Linked DNA regions of Arabidopsis thaliana. The protein of the gene in region 2 purifies or fractionates together with the protein of the main gene of each other region. This does not show direct contact. Each region holds a gene or a part of one and is shown on either strand. Other genes may lie near its edges.

Region 1 (6,034 bases), on a different chromosome or scaffold from region 2:
TGAAATCGACGACGGCTTCCATCACCTCGACGAGGCTATGTTCGGAGGATTCCGATTGTGATTCCGGCGTCGATGAATGCAGTTCATCGGAATGTTGTTTATTCTCGTGATCTTCAGATTTGTGATCATGATTTTCCGATGATTCATTTGCGTGATGGTGATTTCCAGATTTCTCCATTTTTCGCCGGGAAAAATTTTAAAACCCTATCTAACTGTTTTTTTCTCTGTTTTTGTTTTTTTTTTGTCTTTTTTTTTTGGTGTTTTTGAGGAAATTAAGATGGGGAAAAAATGGGAAGAATGGAGGAGATTAGTGTGAGGATTATTCTTAATAATCCATTATTAGAGTTTCTTTCTTTCTTCTTCGAAGATACTAATTGTGAATTTTTCTTCTCTGTTTTAGTTATTATATATTTTCTCTTTTATTTCTGAGGTTCGTTTTTTTGGGTATCCATTGGCCGTTGACCGAGAAGGGAAAGGTTATGCGTCTCACGATCTCTCCAATTTTTTTTTAATTGTACTTTATATATTAAGGAATTAATCAAACTCAGCCTGATCAAACTTGAGGTTTATTTATAATGTGTTGGAAAAATTATGTAATATTATGATTCAGCAATTTAGTTTATATTTGGGCTTATGTCATATACTCTGTGATCCAAGGGTATATTGTGTGAGTCCAGGGCTGGAAGCCTAAAGCTAAATATATTTGATGAGGCCTTTGTCTGTTTCTTTCATGTTTGTTTTATAAAGTCTACTATGCTTTGCATATTTTAGCCAATGACCGGACTCACTTGTATGCTTCAAATCTGGATTTTGCTCTTTGTTCCACTAAAATCATGCAACAAACAAACAAACAAAATTGCTACACCAAAATTACTTCTTATGTTTTTCCGCAATTTAAGCAAATTGTGCATCTAAGTTTTAGTCAAACCAATCATGCATTTGACGAGCATGGTATAATCGTTGATTGAGGCTGACGATCAAGGATCTATGAAATATGTTTACACCATCATTTGATTGGTAAATGACACGTTATCTTAACCAGAGGTTGATTGATAATAGTTTGATTGATAGTTAATACTTTTGATTGATAATCAGTTAATGCTGATTGTCAATTCCTTTCTTTTTTAAATGACTATATAACTAAACTGATAAGCGCTGCTAAATATTTGGTTCTCGCGTATGAGACTATAAATAGCAATATCTAGCAAGACATGAAAATGCAAGCTATAGTTTCGTTCTCTGCTTCAAGACCAAAGCAAAGTTATCTTTTTGTAGTGTTGTGGTATAGAGTTTGCTAGAGAAAAAAGGGGATATATCCTGAGTTTTACAAGTCATGTTGTGCAATCAGGGGGAAAATTAATCCACTTGTACAATAGGTGAAGGTAAAAATTAAGTTTTGACTGAGAGAACCAAAAAGACTTATAGGAGATTATGAGTTCAAGTGTCAACACTATCATCACTTTAATTTTACAAGGGTAAATGAGTTTAAAACAATTGTTTGGTGATTAATGACAACATTTCTATGACCAAAAACTATTTATAGAAATTCAAAAAAAAAAATATATATATATACTCTCAAAAAGTTTTATAAAAAGAAACTGAAGAAATATGATTTTATGTAAAGTGATTAAAAATAAGTAATAAGTTTTTTTTACTAATTTTGTTATTTTGACAGCAGAAAGAAGATTTGTTTGCTTAAATTAACAAAAAGAAAAAGAAAAGAAGTTAATTTGCTTGTATTGAAGATAATCTCGTCAACGAGAAAAGTTTCGAAGGAAGGATTTACTGAGAGTTTCAGCAACGCGTCATTGTTAATTCGCAATTGGTAATAGTGTGAACACTCGTGGACGACAAAAGAAGCTGCTTCTTCATCTCTCTCTCTCTCCTTCTCTTTCTCTCTCAACTCCAATTCGTTTTTACCAGTTTCGAATCTGAACAAAGTTGGGTTTTTTATTGGTACCCAGAATCTCAATTCTCCTTCTTTCCTTCTGGGTATAGGAAAAGTCTCGCCTTTTTTTATATTTATCCAATCGCTCCTGTTCATTGATTCCCCAGTAGGATTGTAGTTTTTGGTTATTGGGAAAATTGAGTAAAGGAGGAGATGGGTTGTTTCTCGTGTTTTGATTCGAGTGATGACGAGAAGCTGAATCCAGTTGATGAATCTAATCATGGTCAGAAGAAACAATCACAACCGACAGTATCCAATAACATATCTGGACTCCCTTCAGGTTTTGATTTACTCATTTGTGCTTTTTTATGTTTTAATCCACTTTCGTTACATGCTCATAAGATCTGGTTATTTGATCCTCTGGTTAAGCTAACGGGACTTGATCTCAATCACTGTTACTTTGGTTTTATGAGCTTGTCAGATGTTTTTTTAAGCTATTGGGCATGTTCTGATTCAACTGTGTTTCTTGGTGAAAGTGTCATTCTTTGCTTCAATTTCACTTGTTTTGATCTGATTGGGAAGTCTCTAGCTTGTGCTCAGTGTAAATTTTGTGTCTTGAAAAGGAATCGAACCTTGTGAGGATCAGGATCACGTGATCCCTACTGAATTAGGATTAAGATCTTAGATTTGGTTATTTGGGGATTGTGCCTTGGAGACATTGATACAAGTTTTATGCTTTTAGGGTGATTTGTTATTGGAGTTTAAGTTGGCATGAGGTATGAGAAGGCTGTGAGTGGATGTGTTTGGTAAATTGATTGGTCTTGATCATGACGTTGCAGGTGGGGAGAAGCTTAGCTCAAAGACCAATGGAGGATCAAAAAGGGAGCTACTGCTTCCAAGGGATGGACTTGGACAAATTGCTGCTCATACATTTGCTTTCCGCGAGCTTGCTGCTGCAACTATGAACTTTCATCCTGACACTTTCTTAGGCGAAGGTGGATTTGGACGTGTCTACAAAGGAAGGCTTGACAGCACCGGTCAGGTATTTTTTGTTTCGTTTGAAGTTAAGTAAATTACATCGCATTCCTATTTCTACCATTGTTGTTATTCATTTTAGTGGGAGATTTTGCTTCATATATTGAATGAGTCTTATCTAATAAGTGTCACTTTAGGATTTTTTTTGTTTCATAAGGAGTTTCGTTTGTACGTTTCAAATGCTAAATTTTGGAGAGAATTCCAATTTTATGTGTAGTCTTGGTAAATGACAAGAGACATGCTTGAAATTGTTTCTTAATACGTGTGAAATTTCAAGAATGACGCTCTTTGTGAAGTGAGTGTAGGGTAAGGTCTTGATGTTCTCTTGGCCTTCAACATTTTTCTTGAATGATGAATATGCCAGGAAATGAATATGCAAGATACTGCTTGCCATCTTCCGGTTGTACATATGTTTACAGTGTTAAAAAGATGACTGACTTTTTAATTTTGTATATATGTTAACATGAATTCTGCATACTTGGTGAACAGTTTTACATTTATGTCTTTACTTTTGATCCATGTCACCTGTGTGTTTCAGATCACTTGTTTAGCTCGATGATTTCGCAATACATAATGTTGTACCTCTGATCTATTTTTTTTTCAATCATTTTCAGGTTGTTGCTGTTAAACAACTAGACAGGAATGGTCTACAAGGTAACAGAGAATTTCTGGTAGAGGTTCTTATGCTCAGTCTTCTTCATCATCCCAACTTAGTCAACCTTATTGGTTATTGTGCTGATGGAGATCAACGCCTCTTGGTCTACGAGTTTATGCCGTTAGGATCATTGGAAGATCACCTCCACGGTAAATCTCTCGCCAGCCCTTTTCTAATCTCTTACCATTTTATTAGACCTCAGAGATTCCTTGTGATCAACATCAATCCAAAGATTCTTTCTTATCTTAGTCAATGTCAACCCTAACTTTAACAGATTCTTCATTCATTTATTTATTTGTTATAATCATTACCTATAAATTATACATGTAGACTTAAGTTGAGAAGTAGTAGTTGCTTGTTTTCTTTGGCAGCCTCTAACAAATAATTTTTTCCAGATCTTCCACCGGATAAGGAGGCCTTAGATTGGAACATGAGAATGAAAATAGCTGCTGGTGCGGCGAAAGGATTGGAATTTCTACATGATAAGGCAAACCCTCCGGTTATTTATAGAGATTTTAAGTCATCAAATATTTTACTGGATGAGGGTTTCCACCCTAAGCTTTCTGATTTTGGACTTGCTAAACTCGGACCAACGGGAGACAAATCTCATGTCTCCACTAGAGTTATGGGAACTTATGGTTATTGTGCTCCCGAGTACGCAATGACGGGACAATTGACAGTAAAATCAGATGTCTACAGTTTTGGTGTGGTTTTTCTCGAGCTCATTACTGGTCGCAAAGCTATAGACAGCGAGATGCCTCATGGAGAGCAGAACCTGGTGGCTTGGGTAAATCAACTCGTCATCATCTTCCAATTGATTTGCCATTATTCTCGTATGCAAGAAGTCTTGAGAATTTTTTTGGTCCTAATAGTTAACATTTTGGTGGTAACAGGCTCGCCCATTGTTCAACGACAGGCGAAAGTTCATAAAACTGGCTGATCCAAGGTTAAAGGGGCGGTTTCCAACGCGTGCACTCTACCAAGCTTTAGCTGTGGCATCAATGTGCATCCAAGAACAGGCGGCTACACGTCCTCTCATAGCAGATGTTGTCACTGCACTCTCCTATCTTGCAAACCAAGCTTATGATCCAAGTAAAGATGATAGTAGAAGAAACCGGGATGAAAGAGGTGCAAGGTTAATAACAAGGAACGACGATGGAGGTGGCTCGGGAAGTAAATTCGATTTAGAAGGTTCAGAGAAAGAAGATTCACCGAGAGAGACAGCTCGGATATTGAACCGAGATATCAATAGGGAGCGTGCGGTTGCAGAGGCTAAGATGTGGGGAGAGAGTTTGAGGGAGAAACGAAGACAGAGCGAGCAGGGTACTTCAGAGAGCAACAGTACCGGGTAGAACCGGTTTGGGTCGGTCTTGACCCTTTTTTGTTCTTATTTCTCTCAAGACTCTCATTTATTGTCAAACATAGAAAACAAACAAAAAAACATTGGGACGACGAGTTGCTGTACATTATATATGTGATGTTGCAATATGGGCACAAAGGTTAATAACCAAAACTCTCTAATTGAGATTCTGGAGAGTTGTGAAGATTGTTCATGTAAATTTTGTAGTCTTTCTATTTTTAAATTTTGACAGATATGTGTTTCATGATGAGTCACATGTGGCGATGTTTACGTCTCATTGAAAGATTGAATAGCAAAGATCCAATATTAAGTGTTTCTGGACTCTATTCATGTGGTTCAGTAGTGTGGCTAATGTCCACAATCGCGGAGTTTCGGACAACGTGGGTCACATGCCCTCGCAATCTGACAATTATTTTAAGGATGGCTTATTCAGATTGTAAGATTTTAGTTGGTCTTATCAAGTTTTTGTCGGGACTTTTTTTTACTATTGACAGTGTACTGTGTAGTCTATTGAAATGGATGTCGAAACTTCCCGTATGTTTTAGTTTTGGTGAATATCATTTCTTGGCCTCTAAATACTCGGAGAATCTATTCTTTACTAGATAGTCCTAAATTTTAGAATTTTTTAAGTAAGAGGAAAAATTATTAACTAAAAACCTCTGTCTTTTTTTCCATCAAGAGACATACTAATTTTATAAATTACATAGCGTATCCTACACTGGCATGCGTAATTTGTCAAAATTCGCTATAATATATATGATTCTTTGTCGGATTTTGTCGTTACGGTTTAAAATGTAAGTTAGTTAACAAGTATATATATTTCATATTATTATTTCTTACGAGTTATTTATAGTTATATTAAAATATTTTGGGGTAATATAATCATAGGATGGTTATAATATTTGTAGATAACTAAGTAATCTTGTATATTTTGTTACGAATAAGCAAATAATATAGTGATTGTCACTTGGAAGTGTGAGATATGCTTGCAATACATTTTCATCAGACCATTGGGACGTCTTGACAATTTTTTATTCGTTTCCAAAACTGGACGGTGATGATTTTTTGTACACTTGAAAATTAGACTCTACAAAGA
Region 2 (6,155 bases):
AACTTTAGGAAAACCGATATCATCCAAGAACAATGTTAAACACCAAATACACAATTTGTTTCTTCAAATTCAACCATAAATCAACACTGTTCAGCTAAGAACTAAAGCAACCAGAAGGTCCTGAACTAAGAAAGGTAAACCAAAAATAGCAACTTTGTCAAGCATAGTTTCCTAACAAGTGACTCAAGACAGTATAAAAACAAACCCACATAAAAAGAAAGCTTGAATCGTAGTCAATCTTTCAAAAACCCATACTTTTGTTTTGTCTTTCCAGAAATCGTATTTATTAATTAATGAGAAACACGATCATCAAAGATATAAACAAATACCAGCTTCGAGAGACGAAGACGCAGGAGAGGAGGAGGAACTAGCGGAAGCAAGAATCCGAGGAATCGATCGCCGAAGACTGAAGTTAACGGCGGGAAGAGGAGTAACGGAGAATCCGGCGGCGAGCGTCTTCCATCGTCCCTTCTGCGAAGTTCAAAGCTCGCATCCATTAGATAAAAAACAAACAATGCACAAATACATGCGATTGAAAGAAGTAAGCGAAGAGGAGAGTACTCGGATTGAAGCAGAGAGAGTTGCACAAGGCGGAGATTGCAACGAGAGTGGCATTTTTTTCGCTGAAGTTGATCTGAGTAAGCAGATCCAGCCGTTGATATCTTCCAATTAACGTGGGTCCCGCCTTTTCTAATTTATCCGAAAACTGTCAACGAGATAAGACAGTTAATTATTATTTTATTACAATGGTTAGGAACTTGCAAGTTTTTATTCATTTTCTCATGAGTCTCTGTGTAATGTTTCTATGAAGCCGAAACAAACACTCATCGTTTAGAGAAAGAGATAAGTACAAATCCAATGATCACTAACCAAAAGAACGATGAGAACGGTTATGCAAACAAGAAGAGACAAGGAAGAGATTTACACACCGGCAAATGTCTTTAGACCATGACAACAAAAGTTTGTAGAAGAAAGTGAAGTTCATTATGTTTCTCTCCACCGCCACCTGGATGAAGGTAAGAAACGGAGTTGAGTTGCTTGGTCCTCCCATTCAACCCTTTCTATCCATTCTCTCTCTCCATAATATATGACAAGTTCTTCACCCGCGATCCCACTTTTAGAATCCAATGGAAGCTTTCTCAGCTTTTCACATTTTTCTACGTGGATAACTTTCAGACACGGAAAATGCAGAGCCTTTGCATAGATTCTCTTGAGCCCGCGTAATTCAAACAGGTGTAGTGTCTCCAATTTCCTAAAAGGAACAATCGTAGCTGAATGCTCCTCAGCTTTCTCTTCACTAATTATATCCTCTACTTCCTTTGAGAACCCAACTTCAAGAAAAGTAAGATTAGGAGCAAACAAAAGCCACGTCAAATCCTTAAGACCATGGCATTTAGCTATAAAGACTCTGGAGAGGTTTGAGAAGCATGGAGTTGTGGGACTTTTGTTCCGAGACGATGATGAAGTTGTCCTCTCTATCTTTATCTCCCTCATTCCACATCTTTTTATCCCGAGCTTGCGGAGATTACCCATGGTTGGCAAAGTCAATACTCTCACTGATTCTTCCTTAAGGTACTTAAAATCTACCTCTTTTATACATTCCACCAACCTTTGAGAGCATAACAATGGCTCTGCAACCAAACTTGATGATATATCTAGGGTTATAACTTCTAGATGTTCTAAGAGCTGCAGCTCCTTCACTAAACTCATATCTAGCAACAGTCTGGAATCTCGTAGTCCCAATGTCCTCAAATTCCACAAATTTGATATCCCTAATATACTCCCAAGACTGCTCATGTGTTCGAGATTCAGATGTATTAGCTTTTTCAATGTCCATAAACCAACGGGTAGTTGATGTATACATGTATATGACAAGTTGAAATATCTCAAAGAGGCCAGCTCTGATATTTCTTCTGGTAATTCATTAAGACTCTGATTCTCTGATAGATCTAAAACCACCAGATGAGGCATACATCGAAAGAATTCAGCCGAGATCTTTACCACGTCGTTCTTTTGGAGAAATAGAGTTGTAAGTGCAGCACACTCGTGACTGTCAAATATCTCTTCAATCTCATTATTCATCAAAGAAATCTTTCTCACAGTGTTCCAATCCTTGACTTTTGGTACTTCACGTAACCCAACACCAGCTCGCACAATACATTTCTCCTTTTGCTTCCCAAGATCGGATGATATCCATAGAGCCATCTCACGAACCACATCATGCATTTTCACGTTTGATTTGTTCCTTTCTTCCTCCAACAACAAACATGCACGGACAAGGGTACCAATTATCTCATAACCTTGGTTAATATTCCTCTCTCTGCCTTCTTTTTCATTTATGAATCCCTCACTTATCCAGTAGTCTACCAACCCCTCTTTATCAATAAGATAGTCTTCAGGAAACAGAGAGCAATAGAGGAAGCAGGATTTCATCAGCTCCCCATTTAAATTATCATAGCTATACTTCAAAACATGGAGAATTTCATCTTCCATACCTGAAAAATCTATGGCAGATGATGTTAAAACGTCAATGGCATGACACCATTCATGTACTGTTCTTTTGCATGCCATAGCTTCACCGATAACATTGAGTGCTAATGGTAGGCCACGACATTTCCTAGCGACTTTTCTAGCAAGTCCGGGAATGTCTGGGTGACTTCCCAGTGTATTTTTCCCAACCTTCATTTGAAACAAATCCCAAGATTCTTCGGGTTGTAGACAGCTAACTTCCATCGGATCATCAACCCCCATGCGCCCACACACATCTCGAGAACGAGTAGTGAATGCTACCTTGCATCCGTTATCTTTGCTTGGATACGGGACTCCAACCGCTTTTAAATTCACTTTCTCCCATATGTCATCCAACAATAAAACAAACTTTCGTCTCCTAAGGACATTGTGGATGTCAACGGCTATCTGGTTATCGTTTTTCTCGCTCCACTCCATTCCCCCAAGGCCTACCTTTTCTGCTATGTCTCTTTGTATCTTACGGACTGTTGAACTTCTAGACACAACAACCCATATCACAACATCAAATCTGTCATCTATTTTAGAAAACTTATTGTTGATCTTCGTGAGTAGTGTCGTTTTGCCTACTCCCCCCATACCGTACAGACCCAAAATCCCGGATCCATCTTCCATGAGACGGTTCCATGCCTTTTCAAGCATTATCTCCTGACCAACAATTGTGGGTTGAAAAGGGATCTCATCCACATCAGCAAACGGAGTTGCCTCAGAAACCACATCAAAGAATCCTTGAGAACTGAGACTCTCAACTTCCTTCAACATCATGATAACTCTTTTCCCATAACGATAGCTCAATTTCAAATCTTTGGAGCAGAAACCACAAAGACACAACCTTTGAAGCTCAACTTCATTACTACGAAGCAGATCATTAAACTGGTTTTGAATGATTAGGACACTAGTAAGCCATACCTGAACTTGGGAAAGCCTTTGTTGACGCCCTGTAAACTCTTCTGTTTCCAACCTTCTTATCACATCATATTGCCGAGCCTTGAGCATTCGCATGGCCTTCTGCAGAGAAGCCAGATTCTTGGAGAGATTGTGAATATAACTTCCCCTGACACATAACAACTGAGAGAACTGACTCACTACTTGATCACATGGCAATGAAACAGAGAAACAACCTCCCATCTCTGCACAATCAAGGAAAAGAGAGAGAGTGAGAGAGAGAGATTCACAGATTAGGTAGAGAAGAGGAATAGATAAGAAAGGAAAAGTCTATGTCACTATATGCATAATATAAAATCTCTAAGACTAGTCAATGTATAGTAAAAACGTAAACTTTGAAACAATCCAAAGATGTCAGTATGTCATCACTACGTTGACTAATCTCTAATAGACAAACAAAAAAGCTAAGAATCATCTCAAAGAACATTTAAGGGTTTATGGTTCTGTAGAATTGCAATCATCTTGAACTCAGATCAACGAAGGAACTTACTAAACTCACAAAAATAACATTTAAATTTTCCATAGAGAAATAGTTTTTCACTTGAGAAAGGAACACTTACAAAAAAAAATCTCCACAGAGACAATTCATCAAACAAGTGGTGTGCACACTGGAATTGATCACATAGGGTAATAAAAAATAGGCTGACGAACCAAATTGAGAAATCAAAATCAACTCATCATACTAGCATACTTGTCTTCTTCTATCTTATACTTGAGGAAACAGAGAGAGAACACTATTAAGGAACATATTTTCACATTCTTCCCACTTAAAATACAATCCTAGCTACATTACAATGAACACTCACAATCCAAACATACAACTAAACTGGAGTTGTTGTTAGAAGTTTGATGTGCAAGTCATGTTGACAGATGAAGCAAAAAGCAGAGTAACAGAACAAAACCAACGACACTTTTTTGAGGTTTAAGGGGTCAAGATTTCGATTCCGTACGGCTAAAAGATTAATTGACAAACCAAACCGAAGTTGGGCCGTGGAATAATAGAAAAAAAGTTAGGCCCAAATGACATATATAAATATATATATATAGCTAGGGTTTAGGAGGCAAAGGACAAAAGAATCATGGGGAAGAATCATCATCCCTTGGGCCGGAGGGGCGGGTGGGGCGGGTGGGGCGGGTGTTTCGGGCCTATGACAACATCGAAACGTAATGTTTACGCTGGAAGAAAATTCAGTACGTGTGCGAGACTTTATAATTTGAAGGGATCGGATCACTCTGATCAATTTCATATTCAGGTTATTCACTTAATCTTTGCAATTGAGAAATATTTCTGTCATCTAGGCTTTTATTTATTGAATTCATTGATTTGATTATTCTTAATTACAACTTGTGTTATTATATATTACAGGAAAAGTTGTCGGAGATTAGCTAAGGATTCGATTCCTCCGCTACGAGCCCTAAGCGTAAAGAAGAAGAAACTCTTGATGATAATCCACCTCAAGATGTCATCTACCTCAGTAGACGGAGCTGTCTCAACCACCACATCAAACTCTACTTAAGAGAACTGAGACTCATAATATTCCTTCACATCACAAGAACCATTTTCCCATTTTTTGGGTCATGGGGCTCCTCAACGCAGCCTACAAGTAGGTAAGAAACGGTATTGTGTCGCTTCGTCCTCCCATTCAACTCTTTCTATCCATTTTTTCTCCTTGTATTTTATGACAAATTCTTCAACTTTGACAACACTTTTAGAATCCAGCGGAAGCTTTCTCAGCTTCGGACAATTGTTTAGTATGTCAAGACATCTCAAACGCTGAAAAGGCAGAGCATTCCAGTAGATGCTCTTCAGCTCAGACAACTGATACAAGTTCAGGCATTCTAGTTTCTGGAAAGGAAGAATCTCCTTTTCTAAAACACTTGCAGCTTTCTCTTTGCTTATTATATCCTCCAGATGCTTACACCCCCAAACGCGAAGATTGATCAGGTTTGGAGCAAACAGCAGCCACGTCAAATCCTTTAAACCATCACACCCTTCTATTCGCACATTAGAGAGGTTTGAGAAGTTGGGATTTGTTAGATTTTTTTTCCATGGTGTCTTCTCTATCATTATCTCCCACATCCAACAGTTCCATATGGAGATGTAACACAGATTATGTATAGCTGGCAAAACTAATACTCCTACGGATTCCTCCGGACGCTCCCAATGGTCCCTAATATAAATGTGTTGAATACATCTCCCAACTCTGGGATAACAGAACAATTCCCCAACCAAACCTGACGAGATATCTGTGGTTATGAGTTCTAAATGTTCTAAGAGCTGTAGTTCTTTCATAAGCCCCGTATCTAGTGTCGTTTTTGAATCTCTTAGTCTCAATGTTCTCAAACTTGACAAATATGATATCCCTGAAATGCTCTCAAGTCTCCTCGTCCTTTCCAGTTTCAAATGTACTAGCTTTCTCAACTCGTGTAAACCATGAGGTAGTCGCTCTATATATGTCCCGGACAAATCAAGATACTGCAAGGACACCAACTCTGATATTTCTTCTGGCAGTTCACTAAGACTGTGATTTTCTGATAGATCCAAAACAGCTAGACTAGGCATACACCGAAAGAATTCCATTGAGATGTCTACCAACTTGTAGTTATTCTGAAGGAACAGAGTTATAAGTTCAACGCATTCGGGACTGCCAAGTATCTTTTCAAAATTGTTATTCATTAGCGAC

The links.
Region 1: the proteins of RPS5 (region 2) and PBS1 purify together in Arabidopsis thaliana (affinity purification with western blotting; one study listed by BioGRID). This does not show direct contact.

Annotation. Positions count from the first base shown.
Region 1 is NC_003076.8:4,174,753-4,180,786, forward strand, and holds PBS1 (Protein kinase superfamily protein), read left to right. Parts: upstream 1-1,753; 5' UTR 1,754-2,101; coding exon 2,102-2,228; intron 2,229-2,727; coding exon 2,728-2,930; intron 2,931-3,537; coding exon 3,538-3,727; intron 3,728-3,973; coding exon 3,974-4,365; intron 4,366-4,471; coding exon 4,472-4,930; 3' UTR 4,931-5,257; downstream 5,258-6,034. Other genes in the region: EXO70C1 (exocyst subunit exo70 family protein C1), read right to left, coding at 1-178.
Region 2 is NC_003070.9:4,142,510-4,148,664, reverse strand, and holds RPS5 (Disease resistance protein (CC-NBS-LRR class) family), read right to left. Parts: upstream 4,409-6,155; 5' UTR 4,032-4,408; intron 3,878-4,031; exon of another isoform or gene 3,657-3,877; 5' UTR 3,655-3,656; coding exon 985-3,654; 3' UTR 751-984; downstream 1-750. Other genes in the region: AT1G12230 (Aldolase superfamily protein), read right to left, coding at 330-471, 562-615; AT1G12211 (uncharacterized protein), read left to right, coding at 4,551-4,799; RFL1 (RPS5-like 1), read right to left, coding at 5,060-6,155.